Linked DNA regions of Rattus norvegicus. The protein of the gene in region 1 purifies or fractionates together with the protein of each later gene. This does not show direct contact. Links are inferred from orthologs where the notes say so. Each region holds a gene or a part of one and is shown in the gene's direction. Other genes may lie near its edges. The genes, in order: Sf3b6, Sf3a3 and Snrpd1.

The links.
Region 2: the proteins of Sf3b6 (region 1) and Sf3a3 purify together in Homo sapiens (affinity purification with mass spectrometry; 3 studies listed by BioGRID and IntAct, with this or other methods). This does not show direct contact. The link is inferred for Rattus norvegicus from reciprocal best matches to the Homo sapiens genes SF3B6 and SF3A3.
Region 3: the proteins of Sf3b6 (region 1) and Snrpd1 fractionate together in Homo sapiens (co-fractionation; 3 studies listed by BioGRID and IntAct, with this or other methods). This does not show direct contact. The link is inferred for Rattus norvegicus from reciprocal best matches to the Homo sapiens genes SF3B6 and SNRPD1.

The regions. Positions count from the first base shown.
Region 1 is NC_086024.1:33,544,004-33,547,754, forward strand, and holds the start of Sf3b6 (splicing factor 3B subunit 6), read left to right. Parts: upstream 1-1,491; 5' UTR 1,492-1,749; coding exon 1,750-1,779; intron 1,780-3,751.
Region 2 is NC_086023.1:142,269,313-142,272,594, forward strand, and holds the end of Sf3a3 (splicing factor 3A subunit 3), read left to right. Parts: intron 1-1,646; coding exon 1,647-1,702; intron 1,703-2,468; coding exon 2,469-2,546; 3' UTR 2,547-2,725; downstream 2,726-3,282. UniProt on the Homo sapiens protein: Component of the 17S U2 SnRNP complex of the spliceosome, a large ribonucleoprotein complex that removes introns from transcribed pre-mRNAs.
Region 3 is NC_086036.1:1,972,544-1,976,194, forward strand, and holds part of Snrpd1 (small nuclear ribonucleoprotein Sm D1), read left to right. Parts: intron 1-3,167; coding exon 3,168-3,359; intron 3,360-3,651. UniProt on the Homo sapiens protein: Plays a role in pre-mRNA splicing as a core component of the spliceosomal U1, U2, U4 and U5 small nuclear ribonucleoproteins (snRNPs), the building blocks of the spliceosome.

The DNA.
Region 1 (3,751 bases):
TTGCCACCTGCACTTGTATTGATTTATTTTGAGGCAAGTTTTACTAGGTAGCCCAGGCTAGCCTCAACCTCCTGCCTCAACCTCCAAGTACTGGGATTACGGGTACACACTGTCAGACCTAAATTTGATTTAACTAGTACCAATTTTTGTTTCCAACATTACTACCAATCTCTCTCCTTTGGAAGATGCTGGAGTTGATCCTATTGGGAGAATGTCAACTGCCTGGTTCTTGAGGGTCGCCACGTTCTCTGTGGTTTAATAGAAGCTGTTGATAAGTTTTAATGTGCCCTGTTTTTAAAACTATTTTGAAACGAGGAAGTCCCATCACTAGTTTGCTGCGATCTAGGGATAAGGTGAGTGCTGAGTGAAAGAAAGTATGAGTGACACCCAAAAAAACTGCCTTTGTACATACCCAGTCATAGCTCACTTTAGGGAGCCTATGAAGAAATCTGCCACCTTGTGTATCGATGGGTAACTGTACACAGAGAATTAATTCTCCCAACCCTCCCATGTATTCCTATATTTATTTATATAGCTTTCTATCAGGATTAACAGTATAAAGTCTTAATATAGGTCCAAGGCTTTGTTTTCAGGGTAGACCTCTTCTCAGTGTATTAAGAAAGCCTATTAGGTAAGTAAGTTTGAACCTTCAACAGATTTATGTTCCTAAAATCTTCTGTAGCATTACAGAAAGAGCCAACTTTGGAAATATATTCCGTCAGTTTCTCACCTAATGGGTAAGATAAGGCTTCATCATTCCTCTTGTATTAAGCTATGTAAATCTATCAGTTACACCAGTACTTTACTGCAGTCTTCCATCCCGGTACAGAATTAGGTTGCACATTGGAAGCACTCTCTTTCATGACGGTAAGTGGAAGGGTGTGCTGTTTCTGATACTCAGAGAACATTGAGACTGGCAGGATGGGGAATTCAGGTTGATATTCTTTTCCTTAGTACAAACAAACACTGGTGGAAACTTTCACCGAGCAGATTCTGCCCTTCTCTACGGACAGCCCCCAACGTCTGCTGCCGGTTCTGGAAGAGTCTACCCAGCAACTGATATTCATGTGGCTAATATGTGGACGCTAACAGGAACGTGGGTAAAATCGTCTTGGAGCTGCCCCAAGGAGGACCTCAGAGCAAACTTGGGAGTGGGCTCTCTTCCCAAGTCCGCTCCTGTAAAGCTGGTCTAAGGAAATAAAAAGGTGTATGTGAAGGGCGGTGTGCTCTGTCTGCGTGGACAAGAGTCGCGGGAACCGGGTGAGGGAGTTCGACCGTCAGGTGAAGCGCGACCCGAGACCCTGGCCCCGGGATAGACCTTCCGAGTAAAGGAGGCGCTGGCCAGCCACGAACGCCTCCGAAGCCTAAGGGCTAAATCTCAGACCCTAGGTCCGTTATCACTCGTGGACACCGCCCCTCAGTCCTCAAGCCACACCCCTTCAAGCGGAACACCTCCCTTCCTGTAGCACTCGCCCCGCCCCTTCCGGTCCGGTATCCGGAAGCGTCTTAGAGCTCGCTTTTTCGCCTTCCGGACTGACAACGCGTTCTCTCTAATTTGACTTGGAGCATCTTTTCTAGGAAGTAAACACGTCCTAGTTTGAGACGCGGACCTTCCGGCAGTGCCGTAACAGCTTCCGGCTTTACCTGGCTGTAAATATCCTGTATGTGGCGCCGTGTCGCCCACGAAGGCGACTGAGTTTTTAGAAATACCCAGAAGGATCTTACGGTAACCTACATCGGCCCGCCAAGATGGCGATGCAAGCGGCTAAGAGGGCGAATGTGAGTACCCCGCTTTCTGTGCGGTAGGGAAGCGATGTCGTTGCTTGACTGTCGCAACGGGTGTGGGAGCGTTTTTTGTCCCTCCGCCCACAGGTGGGGAAAGCTCGCGTTATCTGTTCAGTCCAAGGAGATTCTGTCCTGGCCTCATCCTCAGGGGTGGGTTTCTTGAGCGACTTTTCGCTCCGCCCCGCTCTAGTGAGAGCCCCCTGGTATCAGTGACCGTGTAAGGTCTACAGTCACTGCTGCTTGACCTACACCAAGGACCAAGTGTTAGGATCTTCTGAGTCCAAAAAGATGTACCGAGTAACTCTTGTTCATTGCCAGCTGGAGCCTGGGGTTTTTCTCGAACGTAGAACTTTGGGAATCCTCTGTTGATCTATGTAAGCGCCTGCTGTGTCTCTGGTCTTACAAACAGGAAGCAATTCATCAGTTGTATTTATTCAACACCTACTATGTGCCACATGCCGGTGACACCTACTATGTGCCACACGCCGGTGTTAGGTGTTGGGACACAGCAGTGAATTAAGCGAAAAGTCGGGCTTATGTTCTACTGTTGTCAGTGAGCGGAGTGTTATCAACATCTTTAAGAAAAGAAAATCCTGGGGCTGGGGATTTAGCTCAGTGGTAGAGCGCTTACCTAGGAAGCGCAAGGCCCTGGGTTCGGTCCCCAGCTCCGAAAAAAAGAACCAAAAAAAAAAAGAAAAGAAAAGAAAAGAAAATCCTTTCAAGAAAGTAGGAAATGGTTAAAACTTAGAATCTCACCAAAACAAAGACACATAATTGGCCATTGGATATTCTGATGAAGATTTTGGGCAACCGTGTTTATGCAAGTCATTTCAGTGAATGAAACCTTGGTTCCTGTAGAATGAAAAGATGCAGGGAATTAAGACAAAACTGCAGAGTTGGTCCTATGATTTTTCTTATTAATAGAGAAATCGAGCTGTTCTAAATATACCTAAAGTGCTTTTTACATACCATTGAGAATGAGCCAATAGAATGGTAGAGACCTGATAAAAGAACAATTTGTTAAATCCTAGAGTGCAGCTGGGATGTGGCTCAGTGGTAGAGTGCTTGCCTAGCATGCATGAGCCTATGAATTTGATTCCCAGCACCTCAAACCATGACAGAAATAGGAGTGGTTAGTATACCAATAGAAGAAAAATGGATAGATATCGATAAATAATGTTTAGCAATAGGAATATATAGTTCCCATTGATCATATCTGTTGTCTTCAAGAAGTGCGGAGCCAGGATCATATCCTGTGTTGTCTGAGAAAAGTATAGAGCCCCTTCACATTTACAGGGAATGAAGGTGGTGAAGTTTTAGGAGAGGAGAGGCTCACACAGTGTTTTGTAGTGAGAAAATGGATTTACTGGAGAAATATATCTGTGTGGCAGTTGTTGATTATAAAGCTTGACCTGGAAATCTGAAACGTTTATAGTTTGTTTAACAATTATCACCACTACTCATGTGAAGGTAGGGAATAAGCTTTTTTTGTTTTGTTTTGTTTTTTTGTTGTTTTTTTTTTTTTTTTTCGGAGCTGGGGACCGAACCCAGGGCCTTGCGCTTCCTAGGTAAGCACTCTACCACTGAGCTAAATCCCCAGCCCCGGGAATAAGCTTTTTTTAATGTATTTATTAGTGCGTGTGTGTATGATATAAAGCACATGTAGGACAATTCTGGGGAGTCCGTTCTCTACCAAGGGATTAACAGGTCATCAGGCTTGCTAGTAACTGCCTTTCACATGCTGAACCAGTTCGCCAGCCTGAGGGGAAATATTCTTTCATTCATATAATACTTAGCTTCAGACCAAAGCCATGTCAGTTTAATAAGTAATTATTGTCATTTCTTTGTTGACTGCAGTTGGGAAGAGTGAGCTGTGAGTCAGCAGTGTAGAGTAAGAGTCTAAGAGTGAGGGATATGCAGCAGGTCAAGCAAGCAGCAAACTGTAGGATGATATTAATGCCAAAGA
Region 2 (3,282 bases), on another chromosome or scaffold:
TAAGTCAAGGTAATAGCATGAATTGTAAATCTACATTTTTTTTTTTTTTAAAGATTTATTCATTTATTATATATAAGTACACCATAGCTGTCTTCAAATACACCAGAAGAGGGCATCGGATCTCTTTACAGATGGTTGTGAGCCACCATGTGGTTGCTGGGAATTGAACTCATGACCTCTGGAAGAGCAGTCGGGTGCTCTTAACTGCTGAGCCATCTCTCCAGCCCGTAAATCTACATTTCAAATGCTTAAAAACGTTTTTTCTGAGCCAGGTGGTGATGATGGAATGCACCTTTAATTCTAGCACACAGCAGGTAGAGGCAGGCAGATCTGAGTTCCAGGCCTGCCTGGTCTACAGAGTGAATTCCAGGACAGCCAAGGCTACACAGAGAAGCCCTCCCTGTCTTGAAAAACATTTTTTCTTACATTTCTTTACTGTGTGCAACTGTTTGTATGTGCTCACATGTGTGCATGGTCATGCATGTGTGGATCCCCTTCCGTCATGTGTTGTGGGAATCAAACTCAGGTCATCATGGGCGATTATGAGTATTCAGAGATGCACACATGTATGCATAGCCCATACATGCATGCATGCATGCACGCACGCACGCACGCACACGAAAGCAACATGGCAGCATTTGTTGGCTGTGTTTTAAGGCAGTGTGGGTACTAGTGTGGCTTATAGTTTAGTTTGCTTCCTTACTAGGATAAACATGACCAAAAACAACCCGGGAAGGAGAGGGTTTGTCTGGCTTACACTTTGAGGTCACAGTGTGTCACTGAGGGAAGTCAGGGTAGGAACTCAGGGCAGAAATCAGGGCAGCTGACGTGGAGGAACACCCATCAGAGGCTTGCTCGCCACAGTTTGCTCAGCCTGCTTTCTTACAACTTGCAAGACATCTTGCCCGGGAGTGGCAGCACCCCCAGTGAGTGGAGGCACCCCATGTCAATCACTAATCGAGACAATGCAGTACAGACAATATGATGGGGGCATATTGAAGTTCCTTCTTCCCAGATACAACTAACCAGGACAAAGCTGAGCTTAAGTCACACTCCAGTACTCCCCAATCTCAGGTGGCAGAGGCAGGATCTCTGAGTTCCAAGCCAACCCGAGCACAAGAACAGCCAGGACTGTATAGAGAGACCGTCTTAAAAAACAAAATAAAGCCCTAACCAGGACATGTATTAAGAAGCCTTCTCAGCTATGATCCTTTTTATTTTATCCCACAGTTTCGCTAGACTCTTGTACAAACTGCTTCTTTTGAGAGAGCTTTCTTTTTACCGTTTGTTTGGTTTTTGAGCCAGGGTTGCTCATTTAGCACAAACTGCCTTCAATCTCAGTATGTAGCCAAGGCTAGCCTTAAACTGCCAGATCCTTCTTCCTCTATCTCCCAAGTGCTGAGGTTATAGGAGTGAACCTCCATGCTGATTTCTGGTCTCTGTCCTAAGACAGTTTTTCTTTCACAGCAACGTGAGACTGTGGTAATTTCTCAATCAGAGGGGCTTTATCTACAGGTTGTTCTAAATCAAAATTCTGTTTGGGGGGCTGACAGTCGGGAGCCTGTGGGGAGCGGGGCGGTGAGAATGATGTAACACTGTACCCAGGGGACTGAGGGCCTAATGGCTGCTTACCTCTCATCCTGCAGTGTGGGCCAAGCTGAAACTGCAGAAGGCTTCAGAACGATGGCAGCCTGACACCGAGGTGGGTGTTAATGTGGATCGTGTTAGGTGTGGCGTCAAGTGACGGCTCCCTCACTACGCAGACAGGAGAGGCTAGAGAGTTTTCTGTTTTAGCAAGTGTAATGACAGTGTCTACACGTGTGTGAGCCTGTCGGCATGTATGCTTTAAGTCTTTGTCATCAGGCACTTCTCCCACTGAGGCAGTTGTGAATAAGGGCACCCCGTCTCTTGTGCTACCCTGGGGATTTCTAAAGAAGTCTGTCACCTCTTAGGTCTCTGAGGAAAGCATCAAGTCAGAGATGGTCCTCTCTTCAGAGTGGGAATCTGTCCTTGTTGGTCTTGACAGGTCTCAGAGATGGCTACCATACATTGAAGGGGTGGCAGTAACGTCCTGGTCCTGTGCAGACCGACAGTAGTCTCTTATTCTATGTCAGTATTGCAGTTTTGTTTTCTTGCATCAAGAGCCCTTCCAGCTGTAATGTAGACCTGAAACACAAGACTGGCCTCGCTGTCAACTCCTGCAGTGGCCCAAGGGCAGAAACCCAGGCTTGGGCACCATTTCACACTGCTGTTTTGGTTTCCTTGTCAGGCTTTCCCTGTCAGGCTTCCTTGTCTCAAACACAAGGCATTTCTTGAAAGACTATGAAGGGATAAGGGTGAGCCACGACTGGTGCCACTCTAGATATCTAGAAACAGCTTTGGATTCCTCTTGGAGCTCTGGTTGAGAAAGTTATGTTAAATTAATGCTGGTTTCTGGCAGTGTGTAGCTAACGGCCTTTCCTTTTCAGGAAGAATATGAAGACTCCAGTGGAAATGTTGTGAACAAGAAGACATACGAGGATCTGAAAAGACAAGGACTGCTCTAGTGGTTGGCCATGCCTGGGCTTCCGTGAGAAGCCTGAGAAAATTTTTCCCAACCAAATGTTCTTAAAGACTTTTTGCTATGTAGTATCTACCTTGTAGGAAGAAGACATGCTGACAGATTGCAGAATTGAGATGTGTTTTATCTTTGTTTTATATTAAAAAGATTTGTGGGAAAATAAAACAGCCCTTGTTCTAGACGTGTTGTTTCTGAAATCCAGGTCTATAAAGTAACATAATCCTTTTGTTCTTAATGCCTCCTGGTCTGGTTCTCACCAGCTTCCATATTGGCTTAGACTTAGGGGTAGTTATTACTACCTATATATAATTCTGTCTGTGTGTCTCAATGATAGCCCAGGCTGGCCTTGAACTCCCACCAGCCCTGCTTCAGCCTCCCTGTGCTGAGATTACAGATCTGGACCGCCTCACCAGGCATGTGTCAAGTAATTGAGACCTAACGTTTCTCCCTTCACTGCCACTTCCCAAATGAGCCTCATGCCGGCATGAACTCTGCCCTCAGTAGAGTCAGCCATCAGTGTGAATATCAGAGAAAACAGGAGGGTGAACCAGACCTGAGGCTTAGAGTGGTTTCAAGGTTTGCCTGTTTTATTTGCCTAAAGAAATTAGCTGTAGTTGGCCTTGGTCCCAGCACCTGGGGAGAGGCAGGCATCTGAGTCCAAAGCCACTCAGGGTGCTGTTGTGAGACTCTGCCTTAGAAAATAAATTAACTGCAGCCAGGTA
Region 3 (3,651 bases), on another chromosome or scaffold:
TTTTATGTACATTAATGTTTTGCCTGCATGTATGTCGGTGTAAGCTATTGGATCCCTGGATCTGGAGTTACCCTGGAGCTGTGAGCTGCCAAGTGGGTGCTGGGAATTGAACCCAGGTCCTTTGGAAGAGCAGCCAGTGCTCTTACCTGCTGAGCCCTCTCTCCAGCCTGACTCCTCTTACATTCTTTTTTTTTTTTTTTTTTTTTCTCGGAGCTGGGGACTGAACCCAGGGCCTTGCGCTTGCTAGGCAAGCGCTCTAACACTGAGCTAAATCCCCAACCCCCTCCTCTTACATTCTTGCACTACAACTAAACCAAATTGCTGGTGCTGCTCCTGTTTTCTTGCCTTGTGTACCTTTTGCTTGCATGTGTTCTGCATAGAATGTTGCTTCCTCCAAAACACATCTGAGACTTGTGCTTTTGTGTTTCATGTTTGACTGTAAGTTGTTGTTGGCCTATGTTAATTATATATGATATTTTACTATGGTATTTCTGTGTATATGAACTGATTTTTATCATTGTTCATCCTTTATTATTTTCTCCTAAAACTTTCTTTTAAGTGGTTATTGAAGGGGGAAAAATAGTATCTTAACATGTGTTTCTATTCTCTAAAATACTGAGCTTGTAGATGTCTAAGTTTTTAATAGGTAGGTCCAATGTTTTAGTAAACCAGGAGAAAATGGGATGGCATTTTGTGGCTTTTCTAGGAGTTTTCAATGCTAATTGTGAATGGAGCTGCCTGTTTATGTTTCTAGATGTGCGCAGTCTGCATATCTAAGGACGTATACAGTTGCTGCCCTCCTTAAAGTTTCTTGAGGATGGATTTGGTCTGTTTTCTGTAGAACAGCATTGGGAAAGATCTTGTCCTCTCCTCCTCTTTCTTCCTCCTCCTCCTCCCTCGTTCTCCTTATTTAGATGTAGGGTTTATGTATTCTAGAATGTACCTCAAACTCACTGTGTATATTTGAAGATGCCTTCTGGTTTTGTGCCTCTAGCTCTTGGCTGCTGGTATTACAGACATGCCCACCACACCTCTTTATTTAGTAATAGGGATTGGAACCAGGGCTTCATGTATGCTAAGAAAGTATACTACCAGCTGAGCTATATTCCCGAACCCCAGAGTGGCATGTTTGCGCCCCCCCCTTTTCTTGTCAAAATCTAACAATGAAAACTGTAATACAAAAGCAAAACAAACCACTAACATACGTTTCTGTATCTTATATGAATGTATACACATAAGCATATAGAGGAGATGGAATGTATTAAGACTATCTAGGAAAGAAGAGAACTTCCTTCTTCGGAGAAAAAGAAGAAAGCATTTGTTATTGGGTGTTTTTTTTTGGGGGGGGGGTTCTGTTTGTTTGTTACAGATTTTCAGTATAGCTGTTTGTCCTGGAACATGGTTTGTAGAGCAGGATGGCCTTGACTCGGTAAGATTGACCTACCTCTGCTGCTTCACTCCTGCCTAGCAAAGAAAGGATTTGTAGTAGTGAATTTTTAGAGAAAAGAGCAGTAAGGTGAGCCTGGCATTGGCTCATACTTGTAATGCCAATACTTAGAAGGCTGGAGCGGAACCCTTAGTTTGAGGCAACTCTGGTCTACATAGTAACAGCCTGTCTAACAGAAAAAAACAAATATACAGACAGGCTCAGTTAAGGGCGTATTACAAGGTGATAGAGCAGTTGCCTAGAATGCTTGAGGTCCTGGATTCAGTCCATGGCACCACAAAAACAAATCCTTTCCACTTAGAAAGACATAACAAGGACCCAGACAAATGATCTAGTTGGGAAGTGCTCACTATACAAGCTTGAGAGCCTGAGTTCAGACCCCAGCTCCCCAAAGCTGGGTACTTCTAGTCCTGTAATTCAAGTTCTGAGAGACTCCGTCTCAGAAAACAAGATAGGGGGAGTGTCAGCTCAGCTGTTTGGTACAGGCATCTGCTGCCGAGCCTGACAGCCAAGTCCATGCCTCAGGATCTACACAGACGAAAGAGTGGACTGATCTTGTGGTTCCTGATCTCTAGACCATAGCACCATAGCACACACTGATTGTTGTGGTTCCTGATCTCTAGACGTGCACCATAGCGCACAGACACTTGCCTTCCCATATAACCATACTCATACTAATACATTGTCCTAAGACTGTTTTAGAACTCTGTATGTATGTGAGTGCAGGGGCCTTGGAGGCCAGAGGTACTGGGTCTCTCTGGAGCTGGAGTTACGGGCAATTAGTTCTGAGCCTCCTGATTCCAAGTTCCAAGAGAAACTTGGTTCTCTGTAAGAGCCTTGCACACTTACCATTGAGTCGTGTCTCTGGCCCCTGAAAAGTCATTGTAAGTAACTAAATAGGTGTGTTAAGTTGCGTATGATGGTGAGTACCTGTAGAGCAAGCACTTGAGAGACTTGGGCAGGAGAATTACAAGTATGAGACCAGCTGGGGCACATAGACTTTGTCTCAGGAAAGTGGGGGAAGAGTTCCTAGTGATAGGGAAAATTACCTGTGATGGGAAAAATACCATAGGTCTTTAAGAAGAAAGACCTGTGGCATGCTAGAGGGTAGGAAGTTATGGGGACAATGGGAGGATTTTACTGCAAACACTATCCAATCCTGGGATAAGAATTGAGTTCTGAAGGTAGTGGGCTCATGGCTCTTCATAGCTTGCTGAGCTCGTCTCCTTTGTCTGCACATAGGTTCTTTCTTTGTTGTCCAGGCTTTCCTTGAACACGTGCATTCCTTGTGCCTCAGCCTCTTGAATGATGAGATTACAGGAGTCACTTAATCACACCACCAGTGCGTTCAGTTCTGTACGTGCACTCAGCTCTGTACAGAAGCATTATGGCTAGGAAAAGTCGTTGTGAAGGGAACATTACTGATTTCTTTTGACATTTCCCCCACTGTGCGTGTATTTGGCATTTCCCCCATTGTGCGTGTATTCAGTTGTCACAGGAACTGACCTGTGACACAGCAGTTAAGAACTCCCTAGGGTGGGGGCTGGGGATTTAGCTCAGTGGTAGAGCGCTTACCTAGGAAGTGCAAGGCCCTGGGTTCGGTCCCCAGCTCCGAAAAAAAGAACCAAAAAAAAAAAAAAAAGAACTCCCTAGGGTGTTATTTCCACAAGGTAGATTGCCTTCTTATCATGCTGGTAATTGTTCTGCTTCCCCCCTTTAGGTGTAGATGTCAGCATGAATACGCACCTTAAAGCTGTGAAAATGACCCTGAAGAACAGAGAGCCTGTACAGTTGGAAACATTGAGTATTCGAGGCAATAACATTCGGTATTTTATTCTACCAGACAGTTTACCTCTAGATACACTACTTGTGGATGTCGAACCTAAAGTGAAGTCTAAGAAAAGAGAGGCTGGTAAGTGTAAAGGTGTTTATATATAGTGTGACTCACTGTTCAAAGTATGTTTGTGAACAATGGTACTCTTGTCGCTCAGAACATCGTGTGCTTGTCTTAGTACATGTGCTACGCAGAGCTCCTGGTGCTGCTGTGGAGAAGAGCCAGCCCTCCAGTCCTCTCTGCTGTTCTTTTCTTCCATGGAGTCTAGATTTGGGGGCTGGCTGCATGGCTTCCCTGTCCTCTCCCTCTACCACTTGTTTAGATGCTTGATAAATACTTGTAAATTCATTGTGAATTTTTTTTAACCCAT